4 linked regions of the Lepisosteus oculatus genome follow. The protein of the gene in region 1 binds, or shares a complex with, the protein of each later gene. Links are inferred from orthologs where the notes say so. Each region holds a gene or a part of one and is shown in the gene's direction. Other genes may lie near its edges.

Evidence for each region.
Region 2: general transcription factor IIF subunit 2 (region 1) and gtf2f1 share a complex: the UniProt entries of both Homo sapiens proteins name them as parts of the TBP-based Pol II pre-initiation complex. The link is inferred for Lepisosteus oculatus from reciprocal best matches to the Homo sapiens genes GTF2F2 and GTF2F1.
Region 3: general transcription factor IIF subunit 2 (region 1) and ercc3 share a complex: the UniProt entries of both Homo sapiens proteins name them as parts of the TBP-based Pol II pre-initiation complex. The link is inferred for Lepisosteus oculatus from reciprocal best matches to the Homo sapiens genes GTF2F2 and ERCC3.
Region 4: general transcription factor IIF subunit 2 (region 1) and polr2f share a complex: the UniProt entries of both Homo sapiens proteins name them as parts of the TBP-based Pol II pre-initiation complex. The link is inferred for Lepisosteus oculatus from reciprocal best matches to the Homo sapiens genes GTF2F2 and POLR2F.

The regions. Positions count from the first base shown.
Region 1 is NC_090710.1:16,201,804-16,208,922, reverse strand, and holds the start of general transcription factor IIF subunit 2, read left to right. Parts: upstream 1-4,102; 5' UTR 4,103-4,186; coding exon 4,187-4,252; intron 4,253-4,949; coding exon 4,950-5,023; intron 5,024-6,489; coding exon 6,490-6,508; intron 6,509-7,119. Other genes in the region: gpalpp1 (GPALPP motifs-containing protein 1), read left to right, coding at 211-375, 1,161-1,256, 1,949-2,167. UniProt on the Homo sapiens protein: TFIIF is a general transcription initiation factor that binds to RNA polymerase II and helps to recruit it to the initiation complex in collaboration with TFIIB.
Region 2 is NC_090706.1:13,496,674-13,504,127, forward strand, and holds the start of gtf2f1 (general transcription factor IIF subunit 1), read left to right. Parts: upstream 1-4,454; 5' UTR 4,455-4,541; intron 4,542-4,883; exon of another isoform or gene 4,884-4,914; 5' UTR 4,915-5,062; coding exon 5,063-5,074; intron 5,075-5,268; coding exon 5,269-5,315; intron 5,316-5,500; coding exon 5,501-5,573; intron 5,574-5,814; coding exon 5,815-6,008; intron 6,009-6,407; coding exon 6,408-6,578; intron 6,579-6,826; coding exon 6,827-7,032; intron 7,033-7,454. Other genes in the region: probable splicing factor YJU2B, read right to left, coding at 551-689, 1,609-1,781, 1,882-2,024, 2,193-2,253, 2,467-2,522, 2,692-2,774, 3,376-3,429, 3,662-3,664. UniProt on the Homo sapiens protein: TFIIF is a general transcription initiation factor that binds to RNA polymerase II and helps to recruit it to the initiation complex in collaboration with TFIIB. It promotes transcription elongation.
Region 3 is NC_090707.1:32,279,011-32,285,999, forward strand, and holds the start of ercc3 (general transcription and DNA repair factor IIH helicase/translocase subunit XPB), read left to right. Parts: upstream 1-3,986; 5' UTR 3,987-4,136; coding exon 4,137-4,164; intron 4,165-6,989. UniProt on the Homo sapiens protein: ATP-dependent 3'-5' DNA helicase/translocase. Binds dsDNA rather than ssDNA, unzipping it in a translocase rather than classical helicase activity. Component of the general transcription and DNA repair factor IIH (TFIIH) core complex.
Region 4 is NC_090707.1:38,687,395-38,695,379, forward strand, and holds the start of polr2f (DNA-directed RNA polymerases I, II, and III subunit RPABC2), read left to right. Parts: upstream 1-4,972; 5' UTR 4,973-5,118; coding exon 5,119-5,138; intron 5,139-5,374; exon of another isoform or gene 5,375-5,432; intron 5,433-5,557; coding exon 5,558-5,627; intron 5,628-5,795; coding exon 5,796-5,926; intron 5,927-6,535; coding exon 6,536-6,607; intron 6,608-7,591; coding exon 7,592-7,682; 3' UTR 7,683-7,985. Other genes in the region: c12h22orf23 (UPF0193 protein EVG1), read right to left, coding at 233-316, 554-654, 980-1,111, 1,302-1,487, 2,153-2,215, 2,591-2,693. UniProt on the Homo sapiens protein: DNA-dependent RNA polymerase catalyzes the transcription of DNA into RNA using the four ribonucleoside triphosphates as substrates.

The DNA.
Region 1 (7,119 bases):
AGAGTTAGGGATGGTTGCGTTAAATTGCCACCAAATGTTGTATATAGCGTACATAAACATGTAAGTCTTTTTCCTTATAAAAGTAACTTAATATGGGTCATTATTTCTTTCTGCAGTATGCGAATATAATAAACCACTTAAAATGATCATTGCAGTCATAGTAATTATTTGAATTGACAGTAACCTTATGGCATATGTTTCTGTCCTCAGGATGATCCAAAAGAGCTCGCTCGGGAAACGTGGATGACCGAACTCCCCCCTGAGTTGCAGCACTTTGGCCTCGGCCCCAGAACCTTTAAGAAGAGATCGGGACCGGAGTGTAAAGATCGCTCCCTGTGGACTGACACCCCAGCTGACAAGGAGAGGAAAGCCAGGGTGGGCTAACGAGTTTCCTTTCACTCAAGAGGGAAACGAGTAAAAGCAATTTAAAGTAACCGTGCCTTGTGCATAAACAAGCGAGAGATTACTGATCTGGGGAGCTCTTACATAGAGAGGTGTGGAAAATCAAATGAATATTACAAGTAATTGGTACTGCTTTTCTGCTTCTTATGGACTATTTTTGAAAGGGCCTGTAACTTATGGTCCCATGGTGTCCTTTCCCCATGACAAAGCCTTTGTCAGAATATTCCCTACACTCAGCTCACTGCATGACGGCTGAAAGGAAATCTAAATTCTCCTTTCCGTACTCATTACTCATTGCCGATGCAGTTACAGCATTCCAGTCTTTTAATATTTGTAGTTTAAGACATATCTGGCATTAATAGCTAATCATAGGCATATTGGTAGCTAATAAATCTATTTAAGGACATGTTTCTGGGAAAATTGTCCCAGTCTGTGAGAGTGTGTTTGTCTGGTACTGTGTCTGCCCTGCGAATGACTGGTATTCTGACCAGCATGTACCTTGGACAAGTGGATTAGAAAATGGATGGACGGAGATCTGTTAACACCACTGGAACCACGACTTCCTGTTGAAAACAATACAGCCCACCCCCACCAAAACTGCAGAGTCACATCACTGAACACCTTTGTAAAATGAACATTCGCATCATGTGTGTCGTGATCATTTCTTTTTCTCGGGTTTATCATTTAAAATGAGGAAGGCTCCTTGTGGTATCTTCTCCTTCTCATCTGTTACCTTTCTGGGGGTATTTTTTCCATAGGAGCGCCTGGAAGGGAAAAGGAGTCCGGAGAAGGAGGAGATCCCACAGCTGTCGGAGAGGGATCAGGAGATGGCGGAGAAGGTGTCCAAGTACAATGTAAGTACCTTAATAGCAAATCATCAGCTTGTCCAAAAAAAGTAAAAATCATAATTGCAGCTTAAGAGAGTTGATTTACCAGATCTTTTTTGATTTTGTATTCAGAGTAAGTTTTTCACTGTTATATTTAATACCAGATAGGTTTTTTTATAGAAAGCAACCCGAAGACATCCTGCTTACCTAACAGCTAAAAGGGCTTTGTAGAAATGACAATACATTTTCTCCACCACGTAAAACAGTACATGCTCTCCATAGGCTTGTCTTATCAAATACAGGCCAGTTGGTTATGGTGATACAGTTCTGTTGCATCTTAGATCTTATTAAAGTATGCCCTTGGAACTAGTTATTTACAGTATACACAGTTGGAAAGATGTTCATTTTTTCAGATTTGTCTTATCCAGAAAAAGAGACGCGTATCGAACATGGTCATGTTTTCTGTTATAGTATCCACTGGCTTTGTTACAGTAAGTGTGTTATTGTCACAAAGGGGGGAATACCATCCTGTACATACTAGTTAGCAAGAAAACCCTGTAAAATGTGTGGTTTCAATGAAGAAAATAAACCTCGCTATCATTGTGCTCCCCCCTCCCCTGCATGTTTATGAAGTAAAATGCGTTCTGTGGATTATCTGTGAAGCTAGGTTCTGATGCAGCTCTGCATTAAAATCAACCGCCTCTTCCCTAATAACACAGGATTCCAAGCGGTCCGAGTCTCTCCTCAACATGCACACAAAGAAGTTAAAGAGGAAGACGGAGGAGGAAGTCACAAAGCCCCAGGAGAGACGGCCTTTTGACAGGGACCAGGACCTGCAAGTGAATCGCTTTGACCAGGCCCAGAAGAAGGCTCTAATCAAGAAGTCTCAGGAACTCAACACCCGGTTCTCACATAGCAAAGGCACCATGTTCCTCTAGCTGTCTGCTCTGCTCCAGGCTGCAGGCCTGACTCGACCAGAACTGGTGTGCTCTATTTCCTTTAGGATGGAAGTATTAGTAGGAGTTAGAGGGATGTTGCAGACGATTAATTGGAGGGCAGAGTTTTACATGAAGATACCATATAAAATCATGTGTGATTTGTTTCTTGTGTGTAAGGGGGGTTTGTAAATTTGAATTCTGAAGAAGGTAGTTTGAACAAAAAGAGAGAGAATCTATTAGGGAAAGTCTTTGTGAGTTCCGTAGGTGGGAATAATGACTTTCAGACAGATTTTTAAAGACGGGTAGTATCAAATATCAGCCCTGTGGACATGATGTCGGATTTAGTTGTATCATCTTACTGAAATCTCTCTTTGCCAGATCTACGTTTGACCATTCACGAAACATGTTTATGTGTGTTCAGGCTTGTCCAGAAATGTCATCTGGAATTTGTTAGTGTAGAGCAGTGATCCAAACTTCTGATCTTGGTGAGCCACATGCCATGCTCTTCATGCTTTCCAGTCTACCAGAGCTCCTAATTATTTAATTTAATCCACTATTGATTTAATCAGTTAATATTACAGCTGTTAATTTTGTAATCAATGAAGAGTTTTGGAAGTTCCTTATAAAGCCCGCAGGGATGAGCAGTGCCTCTTCAGGACTAGGAGAGTGAGGACTCCTGATCTATACAATTTCTTAGGATTAATTCCAGTTCTACAAGGTTCTTGATTCATTATAGATCTGTGGGTAGCACATTGTTATTTGACTTTCAGAGTTTATTTTCTAAGAGAAGCTGTTTTACAAGCCATAACAGATCTGGATCATGCAAAGAGGACCATCTTTATATTTATTTTCTACTCCGAATCAAATGTTACGGAAGAAACCTTGCACAAGGTTTTCTGCTTCCCTCTTCACTTAACATTTTCATGTCAGGAAATCTAGCACAGCCTGATAGATTCTGAATCCAGTTGGGATAAGACGCACTGCAGTTCATCACAGGTTTGGAAAGAACACCACTGATTGCAGTGTAAAAAAAAGGCAAACTTCTGCAGTGACCAGGCCATTTTGGTCTTACATTAAATCCTAATGCATAAAGACCAAAACAGCAATTACTGTGAGAAAAAAATCTAATGTTTTTCAAATAAGGTATTGCCTGTTGTGGAGAAAAAAACCTATAAATATTGCATCACAGAACATTGTTAGTGTTTAATGTAAATATGTTTAAGTGGATTATTTTTCTGGGTAATTCTTTCAAAATAGCTATTTTAAGATGTTTAAGTGTACAATGTATTGTATCTTGAAATTATCCTTGAAATGCATTTCTGCTAGTTTCTATTAATACAATGAATGTAGTTTTTCAGTCCATCACATTTTACATGTTTTTTTAATTAAAAGTTTTTGAAAATGTGTCTTTAGTATTTATTTGAAAGTATGCTGTGCTTTTAAAATAATTGTAAATGACCTTAAGTCAGTTTAGAAAACCCGTTTTTGAAGTAGTTTGTGTCTGGAATTTTAAATGTAATGCTTTGCATTTGTTAAGGAGTTATTTACCAATATAGGGAAAACAGTGTTGTGAAACTATTTTTCCTTTTCTGAATATATATATAAAATTAAAAAATAAATTTGATTAACATTAGAAAAAATAGGATTTTGAATAAAACAGGTGTAAAATGTGGTAGTGTAACTAAATCTTAGTATGTACCCTTTAGTTAAGTATGAGCTTGCACCAGATTTGTATTAAGTTCCAAACTTAGCCAACAGATTTCGTAATTTTATTTACACATATAATACGTTCTTTAACCGTTAAGAGAACGATGTTATCAACTTCTTCCGAAATCACTGTAGTGAACCGCGTTTTGTAATGGTGAGTCATGAAGTTTGTTCCCTTAGGGCCGCCGTATTAGCGTGCGCAGTTGCACTAGTGTTTGTGTTCTGAGACGTAGTGCACGAACAAAAACCGAATGGTGGCTTGTGTGACAAATACTGTATAATATAATAGTAATAATAACAACCACTATAATAATGTCTGAGAAGGGAGAAGTCGATTTAACAGGAGCCAAACAAAATACTGGCGTTTGGTTGGTAAAGGTAAGCTTTTCGGGAACCCAGACGTTTGAAAATGTTTTTTTATTTGTCTGGTTGGCTACTGATACAGGCATCGGGTCGCAAAAAGTTAAATCCCTTAAAGACACGAAATGAAAATTGTAGTTAGCCTGGTAATAAAGCCGTGTGCAGTGCTTCAGATGTGACATAAAAATTTGAATTACATTAATTTCATAAGAATATCCACATTCTTCCACTCCCTTCTGTGTGTTTTATCATTTAAAAGTGTGTCTCCTGTCTTTTGGGAAATTAGTTCAGCTGTTATTGTATTCTGTTCGTGCAGCGTGGGTAGAGATCGCGGGGTGGAGAAAGTCTCAATATTTTACCCTGTAAGCAGGCCTCCTTAGCTGTGGGGGAAAAAAGACATCGACCCTAAGCAGTTTAATGTGATGAAAACGAAGTACACGCCAGAATTGATGAATGATTCGTTTTTATGCCAAGAAAGATGATCTAATCACATCAGTGACTGTATATGGATGTCGTTCACTTAATGGGAATCGTGGAAAAATGCTTTAATGAAAGTTTTACCTAAAATGAAGTAAAAGGTCTGCCTACCCACTCATTGTAGTGTGTAATGGGGCGTGTGACCCAGTCTCTTGTTAGAGATGTTAAATTAAATGGCCAAAGGTTTGTCTTGAGAGAGAAAAGATATAGAGATATTTTCTAATCTTCTTCCTTACAGGTTCCAAAGTACCTTTCACAGCAGTGGGCCAAAGCAACAGGCAGGGGTGAAGTGGGAAAGCTCAAAATTTGCAAGTGAGTGCACCTGTTTCACCCATGTAGTAATTTTGTAAGGCACTTAAAGCACTAGACTTCCTTGTGCCCAGATCTCTGCACGAGCAAGAGCAGTGTGGACTTTTACTTTGATTGAAAATTCAGCTGTTTACAAACACTTCCAATTAATTCACATTGCTCAATGTTGCTAGCTTCACGCTACTCTTTAGCGAGGCTGGGCCTGGGTGCTACTTTAAGCGCTGTTGCTCGACCAGGCGGTGGTGTTATTGCCCCACCAAATCAAAATTTCCCAACCATTGTCCCAGTACAGTGACTGGCAACACTGCGCTATAAGATGTGCTGTCCCTCAGCTAGAGACTTCCTGACTAGCCCAGAGACACCCCTTGGCACATTGGAGTTGGGGTGTTACTCTGGTGTTCTGGATAAAGTTCACTTTAGGCTTGTTCAAGCTGGCCTCCTTAACATTCTCCCCATAATTCAAGTTCACTTAGTGTTTCCTCACTTCTCTGCTGTTTAGAGGGGCTGCTGGCACAAAATGGCCCCCATGTGTTGCCCAGTCAGGTGCTGCACTGGAGCTGTGGATGATGTTTCGCTTGATATGTGTGTAGCACTTTGGGATGAAAACTGCAATACAAATGCAAGCAGCTATGTAAATCCCACCTTTATCTTTAGAGGTTTATGCAGTGGTAGGCTTCTGTTTTTATGTTCTATGGTTTAGAAAATAGTTATGACTGTTTTGGTTGGATATACTGCAGGCCTGTTCAGTCCTGGTTCTGGAAGGTCACTGTGTCTGTACGTTTTCTAGTTTGTTTTAAAGCTGTAGTACTCCAATCATGCCAGTCTCTACAGACAATCTGACCCTCTAGGAAAGACTGGGCAGCCCTGATATTTTGTAACTTCATCAAAGTAACACCCATCTTTTTTTTTTTTTGGAGTTACGCAATGTTAGAAATGATAGGATCATTTTATCCATTCAACACTTGTTCATGACACATTGCATGCATGAGTCCCTGCCAAAAGAGTTGGAGTGTGGAGTAGATCCAGATATTATCCAGACATCATATATACAGTCATTCTAATGATTACAGTATTATACTTGGGGCGGAGCAGTGCCTCTGTGGCTAAGGATCTGCGCCTGTGGCTAGAAGATTGCCGGTTCAAATCCCGAGCCGGCAGAGGAATCCTACTCCGTTGGGCTCCTGAGCAAGGCCCTTAACCCCAACTGCTCCAGGGGCGCTGTACAATGGCAGACTCTCTCCCTATCTGTGTGTCTGTGTGTCTCATGGAGAGCAAGCTGGGGTATGTGAAAAGATAATTCCTAATGCAAGAAATTGTAAAGGGTTAATAAAGTGATGTTATTATTAATAGGTGGTCAGCAGGGTGCATATTAACTTTCACAGACAAACCATTTGTATTTCTTCATAAAGAAGTACTTTAATGTACATTAATAGAACTTGTTAACACATTTTTCTTCTTTTTTTAAAAAGGAATCAGGGAAAAGCAGAGGTAAGCATGACGTCTAATTAAAAAAGTGATAACTGCCATTATGTAAGAATCGCTTTAGTGCTGGAGGTGTTCTGTGTGCCACTGGGTGTCAGTGTTGCAGGATGACATTTTATATCCTCTCTGTTTTTTCCATTTTATTGATAATATTGCAGTTTAGCAACACGTACGTCCAGATGGGATTTGCATTTATCTGGTAACTGTGTAAAATTTCACTTCAGCTTGAGTGTTTCTGGGGCATTTGTCCTGTTTGAACAGTTTTGATTCTGGCATGTTGCAGTTTTGTGAATCATGTTTCATCTTTCACAGACATGGTGATCCTTGACCAATTTAGTGTAAATGAGCATGGGTTGAGCTTGAAGCTTTCTTGGTGCCCCTCGATAATAAACCCAATAGTGTGCTGAAGCAGATCAAGAGAATGCACCCCAGAATCTATTTTGCTTTTCTTCTGTGGTGACCTCCAATGGGTTAGGATTGTGATTAAATGTAGATTTAATTGACTACAGCATAACACTGGAATTAATTTTAGGGTTTAGTGAAATAGCTTGTAGTGGAGCTGTGGCAATATTACTGCAGTGGTGTTTGAACTCGGGGTTGGATTATAATTAACATTA
Region 2 (7,454 bases), on another chromosome or scaffold:
GCGGGGCTGTGGGGTGTGGTGCTGTACATGTACAGTGCGGTGCGCCCCTGTGCTGCCCAGGGCTGTGGGGTGTGGTGCTGTACATGTACAGTGCGGTGCGCCCCTGTGCTGCCCAGGGCTGTGGGGTGTGGTGCTGTACATGTACAGTGCGGTGCGCCCCTGTGCTGCCCAGGGCTGTGGGGTGTGGTGCTGTACATGTACAGTGCGGTGCGCCCCTGTGCTGCCCAGGGCTGTGGGGTGTGGTGCTGTACAGTGTTGTGCGGGGCTGCACGTTATGGGCTGTGGTGCTGTACAGTGCTGCGCGGGGCTGCGCGGGGCTGTGTGCCTCTGTGTTGCGTGGAGCTGTGGGGTGTGGTGCTGTACAGTGTTGTGCGGGGCTGCACGTTATGGGCTGTGGTGCTGTACAGTGCTGCGCGGGGCTGCGCGGGGCTGTGTGCCTCTGTGTTGCGCGGGGCTGTGGGGTGTGGTGCTGTACAGTGCTGTGCGAAGCAGTGTGCCTCTGTGTTGCGCGGGGCTGTGGGGTGTGGGGCAATACAGTACTGTCACTCACAGTCAAGGCTCTGGAAGGCAAGCAGGGAGGCCAGTTTCCTGTCGCCCTCAGACTCAGGGACAAGAGGGATGGACAGACTGGCTTTGTTCCGAAAAGCAGAGTCCTTCTCCTCCTCCTCAGCCTGCGCTTTCTTCTCCTCCTGACAGAGAGAGAGGGACAGACTGTTCACAGTGTGCGAGACTGACAGGGACAGGGAGAAATGGAGAGACCAGATTATTCTCCACCTGTAAACTCCAAGGCCAAGCTCCCAGCAGTCTGGAACTTTAAAAGGAGAAGAGGGGAAACACCACCCCTGCTGGACAGCTGGAGCTCTGTCCACTATGTCTAGAAGTGGCAGAATACCTCTGCCATTCGGTCAGTTTCATAATGGGTAGCAACTCAATTAAACGAGGGGCTTTTCCTCTGTGAACCTACAATTATCACGCTAAATTATCACGCTAAAAGTACTGTTTTTACAAGACAGTAAAAGTAAATTACAATAATCTTGATGGGTAATAAAAATGTAGCTGGCACAGTGGTATGATGGTCTGCACAACTTGGTCCAATCTGGTCTAGGTTGTCCTCTGTGTGGAGTTTCTCCCTGTGTCTGTGGGGGTTTTCTCTTAACTGCCCCTGGTGTGTCTGCGCTGGACCAGGGTCTCTGGGCTGCCCCTGGTGTGTCTGCGCTGGACTGGGGGCTCTGGGCTGCCCCTGGTGTGTCTGCGCTGGACTGGGGGCTCTGGGCTGCCCCTGGTGTGTCTGCGCTGGACCGGGGTCTCTGGGCTGCCCCTGGTGTCTCTGCGCTGGACTGGGATAATTTGGATGGGTGGATGGAGTGATAATTTAGCTTGGATGGGCGAGAAAGTGCTCAAGTACAGCACAATCCCACCACGCTGGTCTCCTTAACTCTCCAGCTGCGGGCTCTGGGGAATGCGGGCGGCAGCAGGGGCATCCGTGTCCTGGCCAGGCCCGGCTCAGCAGGCTCCGTCTCCAGAGCGGGGATCCCCTGACCAGGCTGGAGAGGGCGCTCCTTCCAGTCAGCATGTCCTCCACCTCGTTGACACACCACTGCCACCTACCCGGAACTTCCTGCGGAGGGCGCTGTTGACCTGGAAGTCGTCCCTCCAGGCCTCCTGGTGCTCCTGGATCTGGGAGAGGGTTGGGATTGCGGCACGCAGCTTCTCCCGGTCCTTCCCGCCGTGCTCCAGCCGGAACATGGCGTCCGTCTCCAGCTTCTCCTTGTCGCTGCGCTCTGAGACATGGGGAGACACAGCGGGAGAATGACACAGCCCAGCCCAGCAGCGGAGTGAGGGGTGAGCCAGGAGAGGGGCAGGGGGAAGGGGGTGCCATACCGGTCACCAGAATCTGCTCGTTGTCTGCAGGGTCCCAGCGCTCCTCCTTGCGGCAAGCCCCGCTGACAATGACGTAATCGCAGCTGGCTGGGTCCGTCTGCATCTCGATATAGTTCACACACAGGTGACACTTCATCCTGAACCTGAGACACAGAGAGAGCTTCATCCTGAAATTGTCTATCTCTCACACACATCTTCCTCTTCATCCTGAACCTCTCACACACACCGGAGGAGTGCACACGCTATCCATACAATTCCATTGTACCAGTACCGGTTACATATGGCAATAATGTTCAGGTTCAAGTTCATACCTGTAGATAGGGGTGGTGTAATAGTTCCCCACCTTCTTCTTCTCAGCATTGTATCGTACCCCTGCAGCACAGAAAAGATGAGAAGCACTGAGCATGCTCGCACGCACACTCTCCACTGAGCACAGGAGTGCTCGCGCGCTCGCACGTTTGCACGTTCGCTCGCACGCACACACTCCGCTGAGCACAGGAGTGCTCGCTCGCAACCCAATCACACAACGGCAGAGGAAAGAAGGCTGACACGGGGAGGAAAAGGGTGAGGGGTACAGGCTCATACCCATGCCAATGTGGTTCTTGCAGCCATCACACCAGATGTTGTAGGGCATCTCAAACCTGCAGACAGACAGGTGTCACTGGGACCATCTCACCCACGGGAGCCACGCAGAGATTAGTCTATAGTATTCAAGCTGGTACAGAAACAGTATTGTACACTACAGCTTGCTATAGTCCACAGTGTGTGATTCTCAATGCACGTTACCCTGTGTGCACTGCAGTGACTCACCGGATGATGAGGATGCCCTGGGACAGTTTCCTGGCCCTCTCCCGCAGAGGGTGGCTGTTCCTGTAGCCATTGAGTGACCCATGCTGGAAGACAGACATACGCAAACTGAACTTTTTTCCCCAATTAGAGGCCCTCTTTTTGCTTAAATCACGAATTTCTAGTTGCAAGTATACCTACAAGGGTGGCATGACTGCAAAATGGTTAGCACTTCTGCCTCGCAGTGCTGGGGCCCTGGGTTCAATTCTGGACCAGGGGTGCTATCTGCGTGGAGTTTGTATGTTCTACTCATAATCGCTTGGCTTTCCTCTGGGTGCCCCAATTTCCTCCCACAGTCCAAAAACTTACTAGTAAGTTAATTGGGTTCTGGGAAAATTGGCCCTGTTGTGAGTGTGTGTGTCTGTGTGCCCTGTGATGGACTGGTGTCCTGTCCAGAGTGTATGCCACCTTGTGCCCACTGCTTGTTGGGACAGGCATCCTGAATTAAATGAAGCGGGTAGAAATTGGACGGATCAGTAAAATCAGGAGTAGTCAGGGAAATGCCTGTGTATTTATTTGTTGTTATGCCTGGACCACATTGCTATTGACCTGTCATGCCTACAAAGCATGACTCAGAATGGATATGAACTCTGCGTCACACAGACAGACACACCAAGCTTGCCTCTCGCCCTTGTCTCACTCTCTCACCTTGGCAGGGTCGAAGTCAGGGGGATAATATTTGTTCACTCCTTTCCGCTCCCCCTGAAAGAAAAAAACCCACAAATGAACACAAAGCATAAGAGGACTGAGAAACGTGAGACAGACTCAGAGGGAAGACTGCAGACAGGCAGAGACCTCACAGGTACAGGAGAGGGGGACAGAATGGCCACAGCTCAGAGCACAGGGAGAGAGGAGACGGGAGACAGAGAAGGACAGAGAGTGAGGGAAAAGGAACAATGAAGAAAGATCAGAGGAGCTAGTGATCAGTTCTCACCATCTTGAGTCTGGGGCCACTGACACTGAGGACAGCGTTTCACACTCAGAACACAGGACACCTCAGGAATAGCACACACCCCGGTCACTACAGCACCCCAACACCTCTGGAATAGAACACACTCCGGTCACTACAGCACCCCGACACCCCGAAACCTCTGGAAAAGAACACCCCCCCCCGGCACCTGTGGAATAGAACACACCCCGGTCACTACAGCACCGCGTCACTACAAGCACCCCAACACCCCGACACAGCTAGAATAAAACAGACCCCTATCACTACAAGCACCCCGACACACCTATAATAAAACACAACCCGAAAGCCCAAAACCGCGTGAACAGAACACGGCGTTGTGAAACACAAAACTATGAGAAGAAACTACCAGAGAACTGTAACTCCTTTTGGCCTGTGGAGATTGTGTTATTAATGTTGTTACATCACAAAAAAAACAAGTATATTTACATTATATAAACAAAGAAAGGTTTCAAAAGACGCTCGGAAGCGATACACAGCAGTGACGTAATTAATAATATGTTCAAAATACAAACATATACATCTATATTTCAGTAAAATAATAAGTAACGACAGACGTAAACAAATTACTATGCAATACTCACGTTAGCTCCTCTCGAAAATTGTTCGACGTCACTTCCTTTGCGTGGGAACGAAGTGAATGTGAATGGTCTAAATACATTAATGATAGGTGAAGGTAAATACCAGGCACATCGATAATTACCATGTAAATCATATAATCTATTTGTTTAAGCTAGTGATTTCTAACTTGAAAAAAAAAGAGATATTGCGAAATCGCTCGTGGAACTATTCGGCTTTCGTCCCCTTGGACCAGACGGACACATTAAACCGGCGGACCAGTGTTTTGGTGAGTGCGCTGTTTGCTGTATCATAACTGCCTTCTAGTTATAAGTTAGTGGTTTTCACAGTTGAAATCTGAAATTAATTCGTGAGACAAAGAGAGGTATTATTCTCCTCTGTGACTGTTAAAGTTCCAAAGATATAAGGAAGCCGTATACGGTTTATTAAGACGGGTAGCGTAAATGCTGTTGTATTCGTTTGATTTATGCCTTAATGCAAGTACACGTACAATAAAAACAACCACTGGCTTGAAAAATGAACATTGTGTGATACCGAGGCTAAACAGTGTTGAGATAAGAACTAGTATTACTACAAGTAGTAATAAAATCCTCGCAACACCGTGTGTGAGCCGTGAGCACGGTGTGAACCTCTATTTTCAGGGTGTCTGAAGTTCAGTGTCCTCTGCTCGCACTCTGAGCCCCACACAGCGTGGCTCTGTAACCCTGCAGTGCGACACGCGTGGAGCTGAAGAGCCTTCTCTCTGTATCTTCGTCTGTACCGCTGTGGTGACCCCGGCTTTTCGCAAACATGACGTCCCTGGTGAGGACCGAGAGAGAGGCGGTGTGGTGTCTGTTCTGTCCGTGTCTGCGCCTCTCGTTTCTCTCCCCTGTCCCTCTGTCTCTCTGTACCTCGGTCTCCGTTCAGTCAAAGGGCTTCAGTCTGTAGGCTTAACAGAAAGTGGACACGGATTTGTGCTGTAATCTCCCTCACTCTGATCTCACCTTCTCTCTCAGGGGAGCAGTTCTTCGTCTGCCATGGAGTATGTCGTCAGAGTGCCCAAGTGAGTGTCTGCATTGTCCTGCTTCATACATGGGTCATACAGTACTCCCGGTGCTGTCCAGTATCGGACTGGACTGCTCTAGGTCATACAGTACACCTGGCGCTGTCCTGTATCGGACTGGACCGCTCTGGGTCATACAGTACTCAGAGTGCTGTGATTAACCCTGTGACTCTCTTTTGCCCTAGAAACACCAATAAGAAGTACAACATCATGGCCTTCAATGCAGGAGACAAGGTCAATGTCTCCACCTGGACTCAGGTAAGGCTCAGTGAGGAAGAGGAGGCAGCAGTGTGTGAGGCTCAGTGAGGAAGAGGAGGCAGCAGTGTGTGAGGCTCAGTGAGGAACCCTCAATCAGGCTCAGTGAGGAAGAGGAGGCAGGAGTGTGTGAGGCTCAGTGAGGAAGAGGAGGCAGGAGTGTGTGAGGCTCAGTGAAGAAGAGGAGGCACCATGTGTGAGGGTCGATGAAGAAGGTGGCAAAGGTGTGGCGGTCTCTCCGCAGGCGCGCATGGAGCGTGACGTCAGTAACAGGAAGATGTACACTGAGGAGGAGGGCCCGGAGTCAGGGGCGGGCAGTGAGTACGGCAGGAAGCAGAGGGAGGAGGCGCGCAGGAAGAAGTTCGGCATCGTGACCCGCGAGTTCAGGCTGGAGGACCAGCCCTGGATCCTGAGGGTGAACGGAAAGGCAGGCCGCAGGTGAGAACAGCCTGGGGGAGGTGTGGGAACAGCCTGGGGTGGAGCCTTGGGCAGAGGATTAGAAGAAAGGGGAGGAGACTGAGGGAGGTGGAATGGGAGGGGGAGGGGATTGGGGAAGGTGGGGATGGCAGAAAGGGAAGAGAGAGGGGGAGGAGCCTGGGAAAGGGAGGTGGAATAAAAGGTGGGTCTGGGACAGAGGGGGAGGAGCCTGGGAAAGGGAGGTAGAAGAAAGGGGAGGAGACTGGGGGAAGGGGGAGAGAGAGGGGGGGAGATTGGGGAAGGGGAAGGAGAGGGGGAGGAGATTGGGGAAGGGGGAGAGAGAGGGGGAGGAGCCCGGGGGACAGAGCAGATCAGCCCTGGATCCTGGAGGGTGTCAGGGCGTATGGTGTGTTCCTGCAGGTTCAAGGGGCAGAAGAAGGGCGGGGTGACAGAAAACGCCTCCTACTACATCTTCACGCAGTGCCCTGACGGCGCCTTCGAGGCCTTTCCTGTGCAGGGCTGGTACAACTTCACTCCCGTGGCCAAGCACAGGACGCTCACTGCGGAGGAGGCTGAGGAAGAGTGGAGCCGGTACGGGCGGCAGGGCGCTGTTGTGAATGCGATCGCATGTGTGTGCGTGAGAGCGGGCTGGAGTGCGCGCGCGTGAGAGCGGGCTGGAGTGCGCGCGCGTGAGAGCGGGCTGGAGTGCGCGCGTGACAAGGTGCTCAGTCTCTGCAGCATCATGTCTGACTGTCCCCCTGTCCCCCTGTCTGTCAGGAGGAACAAGGTGTTCAGTCACTGCAGCATCATGTCTGTCTGTCCCTCTGTCTGTCTGTCAGGAGGAACAAGGTGGTCAATCACTTCAGCATCATGCTGCAGCGCCGCCTGAAGGAGCAGGAGGGCGAGGACGGGGAGGAGGAGGAGGACAGGGAGAAGGGAGGGAAGAAGAAAAAGAAACCAGGGAAAGGAGGGGACCTGCGCATCCATGACCTGGAAGACGAGCTGGAGATGAGCAGCGAGGACAGTGACAGCAGCCCAGGGGAGGGTGAGAAGGAGGGGGAACAGCCCTGGGGGACAGGAGAGGGTGAAATGGAGGGGGCAGTCTGGAACTTAATGTCCCTGTCCTGCTGTTCCTCCTTCCTCTCTCCCTCCTCTGCTGTGCCTCCTTCCTCTGTCCCTGTCCTGCTGTTCCTCCTTCCTCTCTCCCTCCTCTGCTGTGCCTCCTTCCTCTGTCCCTGTCCTGCTGTGCCTCCTTCCTCTGTCCCTCCTCTGCTGTGCCTCCTTCCTCTGTCCCTCCTCTGCTGTGCCTCCTTCCTCTGTCCCTCCTCTGCTGTGCCTCCTTCCTCTGTCCCTGTCCTGCTGTGCCTCCTTCCTCTGTCCCTGTCCTGCTGTGCCTCCTTCCTCTGTCCCTCCTCTGCTGTGCCTCCTTCCTCTGTCCCTCCTCTGCTGTGCCTCCTTCCTCTGTCC
Region 3 (6,989 bases), on another chromosome or scaffold:
CACTGTTTAAGATTTAAAATGCATTTAAAATGACTTAGACAGAAAAATGTGCAATTGCAGATGTGCAGAGTGTTACATGTAGACAGCAAATCCTACATATATAAATAAACGAAGGGCTGTAACGTTAAAATTGTACAATGTGGTAGCAAGACCTCACTGCCAATAGGGTACAATTGTAGTCATCCATCTACAAAACAAAACTGCTGCTCTAGAATCAGTCCAGCAAAGTGCAGCCAGATATTTTCTTAGGCCCAGAAGAATGTTTTACACAGCAACAGGATTAAAGAACTGAATCTGTTCAAACTTAAACAACTCGGATTTGGGTTGATCCAGATATTCAAAATGGTCAAAGGCATCGATAAAGCCGGCACACAGTGGTGTTTTACACAAAGGGATGCGGGGGGCTGAAACGGGCCGTCCAGCCATGTTCTCAAAGCTGACACCCTGCCTTCTGTCAAGAAAGGGCTAGATAAAATCCTAGGCTTAATTAGCTACTAAAAAACAAAATTAGGCCTAGATGGGCCAAATTGACTCCTCTTCGCTCACAGCCTCCTCGTAGCATGAAAACTCTCGCTCTTTGAGATGTGTGTGTAGATACAGTTTAAAAGAGTGCGACTAAAAAAATATTTTCCTCTCACTTTAAGCTTTCAAATTGTTATCCTAGACCTTGCCATGCCAACTAAATAAACACTGTGATTTAACTGCGAAGTGCGCGTTTTACGCTTTTTGCAAAGGGCTGCGTTTCATCCAATTCATGCAATTAACATTAGAATTAAAAAAAAAGGCATTTTCACAGAGCCACTACGTGACTTCGCAATGTTAATTTCCCAAACGTTAGGTTTCGCACATATTGAAAATACGGGACAGCAATACGTCGAGTAAATGGTAAAATTACGGACAACTTTACAGTAAGGCGATACGTCAAAACGACAGCTGATGGTGCGAAATAACATTTCGGCAACCATTGTAATGTGCCAACAACACTTAAGTTGCAATCACACTGTTCCAAATTAAACCGTAACTGCTCTTAACGATTCACTACGATTGCAGTCTTTATTTCTCCGAAACGATTCACATAGATCCAGCAATCATCGTATCGTTTAGCAAATGGACTGGTTCACAAGTTGACTTACAAAATCAGCAATCCCTGTTTTGACATTCTGGCAATGTAACTAAATTACAGTGAAGCTCACAGACCACGAATTTCTTCTATTTAGTTCTCCTCCACGTTCCAGCATTTATATCGAAATTGGCTCTCGCATATTTCACATTGAAGTGAATTAAATCTAAAACAGGGAGTAAAAGGTAGTCAATGTAGTCCTTTTTATTACCTGGGGATCTGTGGTACCACTTCCTCATTCACAGGACCGGCTGGGTCAGCCTGGGCCCCGCTGATAGGCGAGTCCGCAGACGCCGAGGGCTCAGGAGTCCCGTGTTAACCTCCACTCGAGTCCGAGGCTGAAGCGCCTCCCCTCCTTTTTGGAACAGGCCGCGCTTCCTCCTATTTACTTGTTACTGTAAGAACCGTGATGAAACCGTTTTTTTTTCCCACCGAGGAAGATAGCCTTCTAAATTGTTAGCGCTGCAACGACATTACGAGCTTTTTATTCCATTAACGGTCACCTTAACTTTTCTTTTAATTGATTTCTTAAATGCTCACAACATAGCACGTTCTTGAGCAAATTCGCCGCCAGGTAACAGCAACACAAGAGTTTGAAGAATTTGCAGCACAAATCTTGTGATGTCAGAGGTAGTTTGTGTTCCGAGTTGGATTTCGTCATTGAAATTATGTGGGGTTCAGGAAAATACGTTTTGTCAAAATGGCACCTGTATTAGGAAAATGTATTAGTTGTATTTACAGTTGTACGTTCTTTTCGCGTAATTTACTGTATATTGTTTAATTATAAGACTAGATTTTGGTACCGTGTGTATTATTTTACACTATAGGATGTTAATTCAATATACGATCTCAGAATATGAAACGCAAACTAAATCTACAGCTAATAAGCCTCAATTATTCTACACTCTTAGGAAAGTTACGAATTCATCACATTCTACAAAACCAGTGGTACTCACAAAATAATTTACCCACCGCGATTTTAAGATGTATTAACATTGTAGTTTCAATGGTGCAGAATTTTTTTCCATAAGAGATCACATCAATAGGAAAAAATAATCTGTGAACCATATTATACTTAAAATACTTCGCACTACTTAAAATAATAGTAATTATTACCTGTATGTATAGAGAGATGTCATGTCGAGGTATTGATGGAATGAAATTGCAAGGTTATAAATCATCACTGGCAATCCACTGAAGCTCAGCAGGTGTGAGCCTGGCCAGTACCTGGATGGGAGACTTCCTGGGAAAAACTAAGGTTGCTGCTGGAAGAGGTGTTAGTGGGACCAAGGGAGCACTTACCTTGTGGTCTGTGTGGTCCTGATGCCCTTGTGTAGTGACTGGGAAGCTATACTGTCAAAAGGTGCCATCCGTCAATTTAGACATAAAACTGTCATTAAAAAGTCATTAAAAGTGTCAGAGCTCTTCTCAGAAAAAAAAAGTAGGGGTGTAATCCCAGCATCCTAATCAAATTCTCGCTATGTATACATATATAATTGCAGACCTGGGTACCTAACTCAAGTCTCAGTGGAGGAATGAAAAACCCAATTCGCTGGATCATACACACCCAGAGCAGGTTTTAAACCCTGACGCCTACCCTTTGGATAAGTACCAAGAGGCCCGGACCTTAGTTTAATGCTTCATTCAGTGGTACACAGTGTCCCAAGTCACTATTCTGGGGGCATTGGTTTGGAAATTCTGGTCCAGAGGGAAGAGCACCACCTACTGGTCCACCAACATCACTGTAGGGGCAAGATGGTCTTACCCAACAGACCTCGGCTCTGAGATCAGGCTACAAGGCAGGTGACGCATCTGCTGCTCAATAGTTGTAATAACTGCACATCTTCCTTTTTGCCAGGTCAAATTTCTGCCTGTTTTAAAACGATATTATTCGGAATGATTTGAAATTAATGTCCGGTTTTTACCATTTTAGTTCTGAATGCAACAGTAGAAAAAGAACATCACGTCCTAGAATGAAGGAAAGACCCCAGAAATGTCCTCCTTTAAAGCATTGCCTTGTACTGTAGCAGAGAATATATACTAACATGGTCTAATGCTACTCTGCCCTTTAATGCTTATGAACATAGAAATGCAGTATTACTTAGACGCCATTAAAAACCTGAAAATAACTAGGCAAAAAGCAAAACGGATGTGTTTTAACTTCTGATTGTAATTACTTTGGGCAGTGTATAAGTTGTTGTTGTTGTTGTTGTTGTTGTTGTTGTTGTTGTTGTTGTTTTTTGTTCACATCTTTTTTCGGATGCACATTTCTCCTTTGTATTATTTCATGTTCAATAAGTAAGTTTGACGAAAAAAACTTACTGTCGCAGCGGGGGGAAAAAACTGCAGTTCCTACATTTCTGGTTAGTGTCTAGGTCCGCTGATTTCCGAAATGAAAGAACAAGTTTGTAATTTTACCAGAAAACCTTGCATCATCAAAAATCTATAATATCTGCCCATGCAGAATTGAGACGATCATCGGCTGTCTACTTTAATACCGATGGCTGAAAACACGCCATTTTGGCGTATGGCTGACGTTAATGTATCGGAATAAGAACAGCAATTAGGTATTCCTTAGTAACAGTAATGCCTTAAAATGTGCTGTCGCTTTAACAATAATATGTATATTACTGTATGCATGCCCCAGTTATTAATTGACAGTAGCAAAAAAACTTAATACTTGGGATGATGCAATAAAACTTAATAATAGTATAAACACTAATTCCAGCACCTCAAATACCACAATGTTGACAAGAACCACTAGAAGGTTTCCTTTTTTAAAAAACAGTTTCAAATCAGTTTTCAAACCCATATGTGACCTACAGTCATTTCCCGGATTTGCTTGGGACTTGAACTAACCGAGCATGCGCAATTCATTTAACAAATATGGCAGCCTCCGTTGTCGGATGTGTTGTGTGGCGTCTGTAAGAAATCGGCAGCAAAAGTCTTCAAGAATTTAAATGAAGAAAGCCGAGTCGTCGTAATTAATTCATTGTAGTTGTGTAAGTCTAACATTATGGTGAAGAAGGACAAGGGAGGTCGAGGTGAGTTGTTGTCATTCAAGGTGCTATCTCTTCTGGTTACCATTGTTATTGGTAGTACAATAAACTCCCTCGGATCTGGTAATGACGCATAGCAATGACCTGTAGCAATCGGGGGAAAAATACTGTTAACAAGGCATAAAAAATAAACTAGTTTGCTTCATGCACGCACGCGATGTTTTGCCTACCTACAGTAGGACCAGGACAGTCGTTGGTCTTCATTCTCCCTTAAGTGAACGTTTCCCCGGTGCAATCCGTACTGTTTTACGAGTGAGCCAAGTTGATCGACATCTATCTTTTCTCATATCCGACCCCCAGACGAAGGTTTTGGTGAAGGAGCTTTATGGCGAGTTTGCGGTCGGATCCGAGTACGTCTGATTTTGATCAAAACGAAGGGAGTCTTTCGTGAAGCCTGAGATCTCCCGTGACAGATGAGAGGAGGCTTACCTTCCATCGGGTTAAGTTGGAGGACGTGGATTAGGTGCTTCACGAATAGTTTGCCCTGCTACCTCAGGGGCTGTGCTGCGGGAGAAGGCGAGAGACTTTCCTGAAAAGCTGAAGATGCCGGCTGAATGCAGTTTCTCTTCGGGATGGCTGTCTAGGTTTGAGATGTGCCCGGCGGACAGACGTTTGCCGATATCAATGCTGCCGAAGGTTTTTGCTCTGTTTTTAAGAAACCCGTGGACGAGCATGACCTAACCCCTGACCGCAATGACAGTGCAGGTGAGACAGGGCTCGGCAGCCAGAATCCTGACCAGGTCGTGTGCAAGTGATCACATTACTCCTGTCCTGGAGTACCCGCACTGGCATCCAGTCAGGTTTCATTTCAAATTCAGAATGCATGGCTTGGCACCTCAATACCTGTCTGACTTACTGTGTTCCTACCCCCACCTTGCAAACCTTCTTTTGTCTAATTCTGGTCTCCTATCTGTCCCCCAAGCCCGTCTACACTCTGTGGGTGACACGACCTTCTCCTGTTATGCCCCAGAGCTCTGGAACTCTACCCTAAGGATATCAGAGGGTCACTTTCCTTGAAATCTTTCAAACCTAGACTCAAAACCTTCTTTAGGAGGGCTTTCATTTAACCCATTCCATTATGTTACGTGCCTCAATTTTGAATTTTTGAATTTTTTTAATTCCAATTTTTCAGTTTTTTTTAATTCTACCCGAGAAGTCCTTGTACCCAGAACCCTTCTCCACATTTTGTCCTGATACAGTTCACTGTAATTAATAATTGCTTAAAGTTATATAGCGCTTTAATCTGGACACTCCACTCAAAGCGCTTTACAGGTAATGGGGACTCCCCTCCACCACCACCAATGTGCAGTATCCACCTGGATGATGCGACGGCAGCCATAGTGCGCCAGAACATTCACTACACATCAGCTATTAGTGGGGAGGAGAACAGAGTGATGAAGCCAATTCATAGATGGAGATTATTAGGAGGCCATGATTGGTAAGGGCCAAGGGGAAATTTGGCCAGGACGCCGAGGTTACACCCCTACTCTTTTCGAGAAACGCCCTGGGATTTTTAATGACCACAGTGAGTCAGGTCCTCAGTTTTACGTCTCATCCGAAGGATGAACTTAACTATACCCGAATCTAAACTGTTGATACAAATCTGCAAGAGCAATAATCCTAAAACATATTCCTACTTAAACTACTTTAATGTGCCCATTTACATGTTACAGCACTAAGGGAACTTGTGGTTTGTTATTATCTTTTTAATTTAGCTTTTAGTTCAAATGGTTCTTTGTTCTTTCTCTTTCTCTTTTTTTATTTCTCTTTTATTGTTCTTTGTTTATGACAACTTTCCTAATTTCTGTTTTATATATTTTCAAGCATAAAATTGACAAATATGTTGCTTTACTGTATGACTGTGTTTTCCTTTACAACTGAAAGTATGTCTCTGAATTTGAAGATTTTATTTTTGCGCTGGGTTTGTAAAGCACTTTGAGCTGCTATTTGTATGAAAGGTGCTCTATAAATAAAGTTTGTTATTATAAGTACTGTAATGCTGCACCCACCTGGTTGATAAGTGTCAGACAGCATTCTCCCTACACATCAGATTAATTCAGGAATTAGCCACGGCACCAGGATTAATACCCCTACTTTTGCCATGGGAATTTTAACAGTCAGATGTTAGTCAAGACCATAATTTTAGGTCTTACCCAAATGACTGCAGCTATCTACAGGACAGTGTCCGTTGTCAAATACTATAGTTGAAAGTTCTGGTCCAGAGCAAATAGTGCTACATGCTGGGCCACAGCACCACTTCAAGCAGCAACCAAGTTTTCCTTAACGATCTTAATGACCATGTCTAGACTTGCATTGCTTCTGAGATCTGTTGAGATCAAGTTACGAGATGGTTTCAACCTCATATGGATGTCATATTTTTGAACAAGTTGTTACCTATATTGATATGTTTCTGATGAATTACTGTCAGCACTGATGAAGATTATCATCTGGTGTCCGGTTAGTAAAATAATAACAGTAGCTAGAAAGCTTCAAGACTTCCAGGAGAGTCCCAGTGTCATGAAATGCTGAAGTGAAGTATTGTAGGATTAACAGGGTTGTGAACAGTAGCTGTTTGCAGTTCAGGCCTCGTATTAATAGGCCAAACATTTGTTGTGTAGGGCCAGGTTGTGTTGCAGGCCCCGTTTTGCTAAGAACAAATGTCCAGTAAGTACCGCTTACTGGACAACCTGAATTTTCAGACAAGCTGATGTAGAGGAGTTTATTGACATATGTACATTGAAATTCTTATTCGTGCTGAGTTCTCAGGACGTGCACAGTACAATAGACAACGCCTTAGAATGTAGACAATA
Region 4 (7,985 bases), on another chromosome or scaffold:
GACTCAGTGGGATGTCCAGTCCAGTCTAAACTGTGTTCACCGGTGGCGCTGCTGCGTGCCGGACCACTGTCTGTGTTGGTGGAGCGGGAGAAAATTTCCCAAGGTCCAGAGCTGAGCGCACGTCTCTTATTTGTGGGGAATAAGTCATGACACCTTGAGGGAGCTTGTCTGGTCCACTCCAGACCTGTGTGGCAGGAAGGGGTGACCGAGCTGACCCCCCAGACCCCCTCACTCAGGGCTGCTCCTGCCCCCTCTGCCTCAGGGCGCTCAGCTCCGAGCTCCGAGCCCCGTCGATCAGCTCCAGCTCACGGATTTTCTGTGGAAGAGAGGAAACGGGATTTCACAGAGTGTCACGGTGTTCATGATGTCGCCCCTGATGATGCCATCAGCTCTGTTACCCGAGTGATGCAATGCTGATGACATCACTACATGTTCTCCAACTGCACTGATGACCCTTGTGATCTGATGCTGGTGATGTCATCGGTGTGTTGCAACGATCCGTGCACGATGACACGGTGCGATGATGTCAGCAGCACGGCGTCACCTCTGTTACCTGGGAGATCTCCGTGCTGATGATGGTCTGGTACTCCTTCCCTCTTCCCAGCGCAGTCATCTCCTCCAGGAACTGCCGTCTCTCCTCGATCTCGTCCAGCACTGAGACGGGACGAAGACGCGGAGGGTCAGACTCTCGGCAGCGGTGATTCTTGAAACACTGAATCGAACTTTTACAAATCAGAAGTGCTCCAGCGTGGGACAGTCTTGCACATGTGATCAGGGTGATGAAAAAGGGAAGACCCTATATGGGTATTAGTGACTTTTTCATATTTTGCATCCATGTTTTGGTTGGCTGGGACTGCTACACATCATCACTGCCTGGTCTGGCAGATCCCTTTATGGAAAGCAGAGGTTAGGCAAGCGATGGAGAGGTCTAGCAAACCATGCAAACTGCTGGCTCGGGCCAGTCGGTGCTCCTCCTCACCCTCCTGGAAGCGATCCCTCCCCGGGGTAGCTTCTGTCCCGGCAGCGGCCGGCAGGGGGGGCGGCGGACCGGGCTCCTCGCGCCCCGTGGCCAGCAGGCTCTGCAGACGCCTCTTCTCCTTCTCCGGGTCTCCTGGGAGTTCAAGAGGAGGAGAGAGAGGGCACGGCTGAGCTCTGAGCTCTGCGCTCTGCTGCGCTGCAGGGCACAGCCCAGCCAGGAGAGGCCCCAGGCCTGCCCTGTGTGCCGCTGCGCTGGACAGCTGGACCGCTGGACCGTTGGACCCGGTTCTGGTGCTGTAGCTCGCGGGGTGCGGCCAACTCACGTGTGGGTCTGGGGCGGAACCTCTCCCTCTGGTAGCTGTCCCCGGCCTGACACTGTTCGGCGCTGCGCCGCTGGGGCTTGAAGGCGGGGCTCGGGCCTGCCCTTGGCTGGGGTCTGGGAGCTGCGGCTGGGGCTCTGGGTACTTCGCTGGAGGTGGGGTGACAGCGCGGCGGGAGGGCGCCCCCTTCTGGCAGAGGAAAGCAACACCAGCAATGGTGCATGAAAACCGTGCTGAACCACAGCGTGGAAGACGAGTAGATGTCACTGCAGGTCTGCACGGGCATGAAACTGAAGCCCCCTACCCGAGACCTTGAGACCCAACCCGACCGAGCCCGAATGGTACTGCCTAATTTGAAGCCCGAACCTGACCAGAACCCGAAATCGATCACTGTCTTTTCCTCTCGGGGCGAGCAGACACACGTGCGCACACGGAGACGGATTCTCACAAACACAGTTCTGCAATGCGAGCGTGCAAAATAGGTTATGAATCTCTTCCAATAAAAATACATTTTATGACATAAAATAATAATAATTCATTTTCACTTATTAGAAAACAGACCCAAGCCCCTCATTGCGCAGAGGCGAGTGCGGCGTGAACACCAGCTCTGCCCACCCGCGGGGTCGGACAGGGGTCACCAGAGAGGAACCGCAGGACCCCGTTCAGGAGTCGTGTTTAAAAACAACCACCCCCCCCCCCCGTGACTCAGGGTGGGTGTGATTTGGAAAAGGTAATGAGCTCAGGCGAGACGAGGAGCGCAGATCCTGGCACGCCTGTGGGAGGGTATGCCAGGGCGTGTCTGGCGAGTCGCGCGATCGGGACAGTCCCCGCCGGCGGCGGGTTCCAGGACTCACTCTGCAGCCTCTCGCCGATCTGTCTCTCCTGGAAGCGGGTCAGCCGGGATTCCTGCATCATCACTGCAACAGGACACAAGTCAGGCTGTCAGGCCCCCCGACCCGGGGTCACACGCACACCCAGACACCATCAGATCACGCTACCTTCCTCTCCACGACGGCGGAACCGTCCCAGACTCTCTGGGCTCCACTATGCTATAGTCCAAGCCTGCACTGCAGGAGGCTGGAGGAAACCAGAGACCTACAGCACCACGTTGAGAACTCACGCCAACCCGTGGAGGAACATGCAGACTCCACGCAGACAGGCGGCAAGCTGGGATCTTGTCCTGCCGTCTGCAGCTGTGACGCAGCACCGACGCCCCGCCCCCCCTCAAGCACTGAATGGGCAAACGCACACGCCGGGGGACACACACTCGGACCCACATTCGGGACACTCGCCTCTCAGGAGCTCCTGGGTCTCCTGGCTGTACTGGGGCACACGGGGGCAGTTCCACAGGCCGCCCCCGGCTCCTGGGAGCTGAGCTCTGTCTCTGGAGGACATCAGACGCAGGGTCCTGCACACAGGAGCACACAGGGGTTAAGACAACACAACCATTTCCTTTATCCTATTCAGGGCCCTGGGGAAGCCAGAACCTATCCCAGCAAGCTCCGGGCGCAAGGCAGGATACACCCAGGATGGGACGCCAGTCCATCGCAGAGCGCACACACTCACACCTGGGCCAGTTCTGCTGGTACCCAGTTAATCGACCAGCATTTTTCTGGACTGTGGGAGGAAACCAGAGCACCCGGAGGAAACCCACACAAACACGGGGAGAACATGCAGACTCCACACAGACAGCACTCGGGGTCGGGGATCGAACCCGGGGCCCCAGCGCTGGAAAGCAGCAATGCTACCTGCTGCGTCAAGGTGCCGCCCTTAACTTGCTGTGCGCAGCACAAACTTTCAACATGCAGCAGAGTTCAGGACGAGCTTGCGTGCCGAGAAAGAGCTGACTGTTGGGAAACGAGTCAGGTGAAGGGAGCAGTGAGCAGTCCAAGAACACAGGAACAATACCGGGCCTCGTGCCCAAGCCTCTGGAGCAACAAGATCTCTCTGTGGCTAAAACTGGGGGACAGGTAAAGTATAATAGCTGGAAAAGGTGTCTGTTCTGCAGCGAACGAGCTATAAAGCTGTCAGGACTGGAGGCAGGCTGCCGAGTCATCACTGTCCCAGTGAAAGCGCCTGGGGGTGAAGGCAGAAAGCTGCCTCTCCAGAGGCTGCAGGGAACAGCCCTTTCTCTGTCCTGTTCCCGTCTCCCCAGGCTTGTTTCTTACCACTGCACTGCACACTGCTCCTGTACCCCCAGACTCCCTGTACCCCCTGCACACTGCACCTGTACCCCCAGACTCCCTGTACCCCCTGGCCACTGCTCCTGTACCCCCAGACTCCCTGTACCCCCTGCCCACTGCTCCTGTACCCCCAGACTCCCTGTACCCCTGTCCACTGCTCCTGTAGCCCCAGACTCCCTGTACCTCCTGCCCACTGCTCCTGTACCCCCAGACTCCCTGTACCCCCTGTCCACTGCTCCTGTACCCCCAGACTCCCTGTACCCCTGTCCTGAAGTTTATGACCTCACTCCCCTCCCTCTCCTGTACTTACTGGATTGTCCCAGATGGGAAATTTGCTTTGCAGGCAAGTAAGACAATTTAACACAAACCCATTAACAAATAAGAGACATTCATGTACAATGAGAAAAAACACAAATATATGAGGTAAAATGTACATCCAATTGTCCCCATTGAGCCGGATCATAGCCGTGGGAATAAAAGATGTTCTACTGAATCTGGGCGGTCTAAACTGAAGTCATCTCTAACTTTATTTCTCATTTTACCCCCGTGACTGTTTCTGGTACTTTCACTTAACATTCATTTCGTGTAGAGCGTCACTCCGGAGAAGAACATTATAATTACAGTAACCACCCTCTGTTGTGAGACATTTGCAAATTGAATACTTATGAACTACGTTCACTCACGCAATTCTGGTCTATTAACTGTGTATTCATAAATATCGCCCCATGGTTTGAATTGCAATAGCTACACTGCCTCTCCTATAGCTACAGTGATGCTGTGCAGGACGGGAGAACGGCCGCAAGCTGCACCAAGCGTTACCCTGAAAATCATCCCCGACACGAGCTTATGAACCGCTGATATGAACTGCAGAAAGACAGACATCTCACCCGGTATCGTCTCCAGTCCGCACACAGCCTGGCAGCGCGACTTCCGGCCAGGACGCCGAGCCCTGCTGCCATGGCAACGGCGGGGCCTTGACGTCACGCCATGACCCCTCCCCGCCGCCACCCGAAACAGGTTGTTAAAGAAAATTGTTCCTGCAAAGTAACCGAGTTCCACAGACTTCTCTTCTAAGGCATTTATATGTTATTTCGTCTGCTGTCGCCTATTGTTATATGTTTTCTCTTAATGTTTATAAATAAAGCTTTCAGTAATGGGAACCTAGTGGGTATTAATAGGTCATATGGTATGAAATCAGTTATTTTCTTTAATCGCTTTGAAAATATTTTCACATGCTGTTTGGTAAAAGGCTGTTATTAGGTACGTTTTACTTCGAAAAGTGGCATTTATTATGCTAAAAGTTTCATATTGTTATGTTAAAGTAACAAATGTCATTTTTTAACTGTGTTATATATTTGTACTACTGTGTCAGCAGTTATAATGCCCTATTCTGAACAAACTCTCAAGAAAATTCCGCAATCAATAGAAGAAATCCGGGTCATTAACAGAAAACTGACAGTACAGCAACTGTGCTGTTTGACCCGGAAGTTGTCTTGCCTGGGGCGGAAGTGAAAGGAGGACGGCGTGGTGCTGAGGAGGAGGCGGGTTGTTTGTGCCGAGTGTGTTTAGTCGTTTTTCGGCTGCTTAAAATACTGCTGCAAGTTTTCCTCTGAATTCCTCACGCTTGCGGGTGAGAGATGTCTGACAACGAGGACAAGTAAGCGAATCCCCGTGTTTCTGAAAGGTTTCATTCGGGGGTGTTTACCGTCCGTGTAGCTCGCAGTTTCCGCGAATCCCGAGATCAGTGCGTATGTGAGTGAGATGGACGACAGATTTTGAACCACATCAGCTGGATTATTAAATATTTATTCTGATAGCTGGTTCTCCCCTGGCCGCCTTCTCCGTGGCGTTAAGAGGCTGCAGGTTTTCTCTCTCGGGCTTCATCGATCTTACCTGCGGTCCGACGAGACGATGCCGGACGGGTCCTGAGCCCCGAACTCGCCCTGTTGATTCTGACGTTCCCAGCCGGATGACCCACAAACCCCTTCTCCTCAGCCCCTGAGGACAGCCCCCCCGGCGGCTTGCGCCCGTCTGCAGCGGGGCGACCTGACCCTCCTCTTCCTCCCTGTCTTTCAGCTTCGACGACGGAGATTTCGACGATGTCGAGGAGGATGAAGGGCTGGACGATTTGGAGAACCCGGAGGATGTGAGTGTTTCTCACCTGGGCCTTGTCTTGGGACCCTGTTTCTCTGGCAGCGGGGCGCTGTGACGTGAACCCCACCTCTCTCTCTGTGACCTGACCCCCTCTCTCTCTATAATGTGAACCCCGCTCTCTCTCTGTGGTGTGAACCCCTCTGTCTCTCCCTGTCCGCAGGAGGATCAGGAGAACGTGCAGATCCTGCCAGCAGGGGAGGGCCAGCAGGCCAACCAGAAGCGCATCACCACCCCCTACATGACCAAGTACGAGAGGGCCAGGGTGCTGGGCACCCGGGCGCTGCAGATCGCGTGAGTGGCCACCCGTCTCCTGTCTGCAGCTCCCCTGGTCCAGACCCGTCTCCCCGTCCCGGGTCGGTCTGCACGTCTCCCCGTTGGGCTGGACAGAGCGTTGCTTGACTCTGAGTGTGACCAGTTCGGCTGACTCAGTCTTGGCCAGCTGGACATACACGAGGATGGCCGGCGCTGCGTTGGGGTTATAAAGGCGCCCTGGAAAATAAGAGGGTTCTAGAGCATGGCGGCGCTGGGGGTCCACAGAGGGACCCGTACGCCACATGACCTCAGTTCTACGCCTCCCTGAGCCGCGCCCTGACTCCCTGCGTCCCTGGAGAACTTTGTTCCTGCAGGAAAGGACTCCCGTGCGGAGTTCTTGATCTGTTGCTTCTGCCTTGAGCTGATCTGGAGAGAGAGACCGACAGCGGGGTGGTTCTCGAAACTGGCCCCCCCTCCCGGTCTCGCTCCTGTGGGTGTCGCTGCGGCTCCAGGGTGGAGAGCGCGCGGCAGTCTCCTTTCACAAAGAGGGGCGGGAGGGTGGAGCAGGAATCCAGTCCGTCGCACCGTCCCGTGTTCTCCAGGCAGTGTCGTTCTCACGCCTTCCCTCCCTCCCCTCTCTCTCGGCAGGATGTGTGCCCCCGTGATGGTGGAGCTGGAAGGAGAGACGGACCCTCTCCAGATCGCCATGAAGGAGCTGAAGTGAGTGCTGGGGGGAGGGGGAGGAGGAGCAACAGGTGTTTCTACTCTGTGCCCACCAGGGTGGGTGGAAGGAACGCAGCACTCGAGAGCAGGTCGTTTTCCCCACCCAGCAGGTTAGGCTGCTCATAACGAATAGTTGGTAGGGATCTCACCCAGCTGTTTCTTGAACAGCCCTGGAGGGGGAGATGTCTTCAACGGGGCCTGGAAACGAGTTCCAGACACCCAACACTCTTGGCGTAGAAAGGAAGTCTGGAACCGCGCTTCCTTGCTGTGTGCGGCGTAGGCTCAGTAAGCCCGTCTGTGTGCTCCCTGGGAGATGGTGGAGGCCTGTGGGCCCACGGCGTGATGTAAAAGCACCGGAGTCCGGACTCTCGGCTTCCCGGCTCCGTGACCTGTCTCTCCGTGTGTGAAATTCCCAGGGGGTTTCTGTGGCTGGCGGGTATTCCAGAGTCGTGCGTCTCCATGGCAGCGGACGGCGGCAGGGGCCCCTCCCGCCTCCTGTCTCCGCGCCCGAGTGCCAGGCGTTCCCGGAGCGGCGCAGGGGAATTCCGCAGCTATGTGGGGATTTTTCAGGATTCGCGGTCTGCCTGCAGTCGCCGTCTGGCCTGGCCGCCGGAGCCCGGCACCCGCTCTCCGGGTGATGGGGCCGGGAATGTCGGGGCGCCTCCGGGATGGCCGGAGATCGGGAGCCTTGCTTCCTTGCGCCTCGTCCCCTCCTCTGTCCTGAGTGAGAGGAGGGCGGGGGAGAAACCGGCGAGCTGTTTTTGGGGTTCCCTTCGCAGTGGCTGGGGTTCGGGTCTGGGGCCCCAGTAAAATCCCCCCACTGTGTGAAGAGCGAGAAAACGTAAACGGGGCGCAGGATGGGTCGCTGGCTCCGAGGGGGGTGAAGGGGGGAGGCTTGGGGGTCGCGTGGCCTCGGGTTCGAAGGAGAGGGGGTGTGTGCCCGCGCCTCACGGCTCTCGGTCCGTCTCCGTGCCCCCACAGGAGCCGGAAGATCCCCATCATCATCCGGCGCTACCTCCCGGACGGCAGCTACGAGGACTGGGGCTGCGACGAGCTCATCATCACGGACTGAGGGGCGCCGGCCCCCGAGCGGAGCCGGGCCGGGCCCCGCGTTCCTGACCCCTCCTCCCGCCTCCTCCAGTTCCCCTCCCGCTCCTCCTCCTGGCTCGCGGAGTTCCCCCCGAAGAGGAACGGCAGCTGGCGGCGGGAAAGGCCGGGAATTTGATCCCAGTTCCTGGAAGCCACAGACCCTCCTCTTCGGGACAGACAGCCGGGCTGACTGGCTGACCGGTCAGTACCGTCACCTCGTCCGGCGGGATCGGAGGACAGGACAACGTCTTCCTGACGGGCCGAGCAGGGAGCTCGGGAATGATGT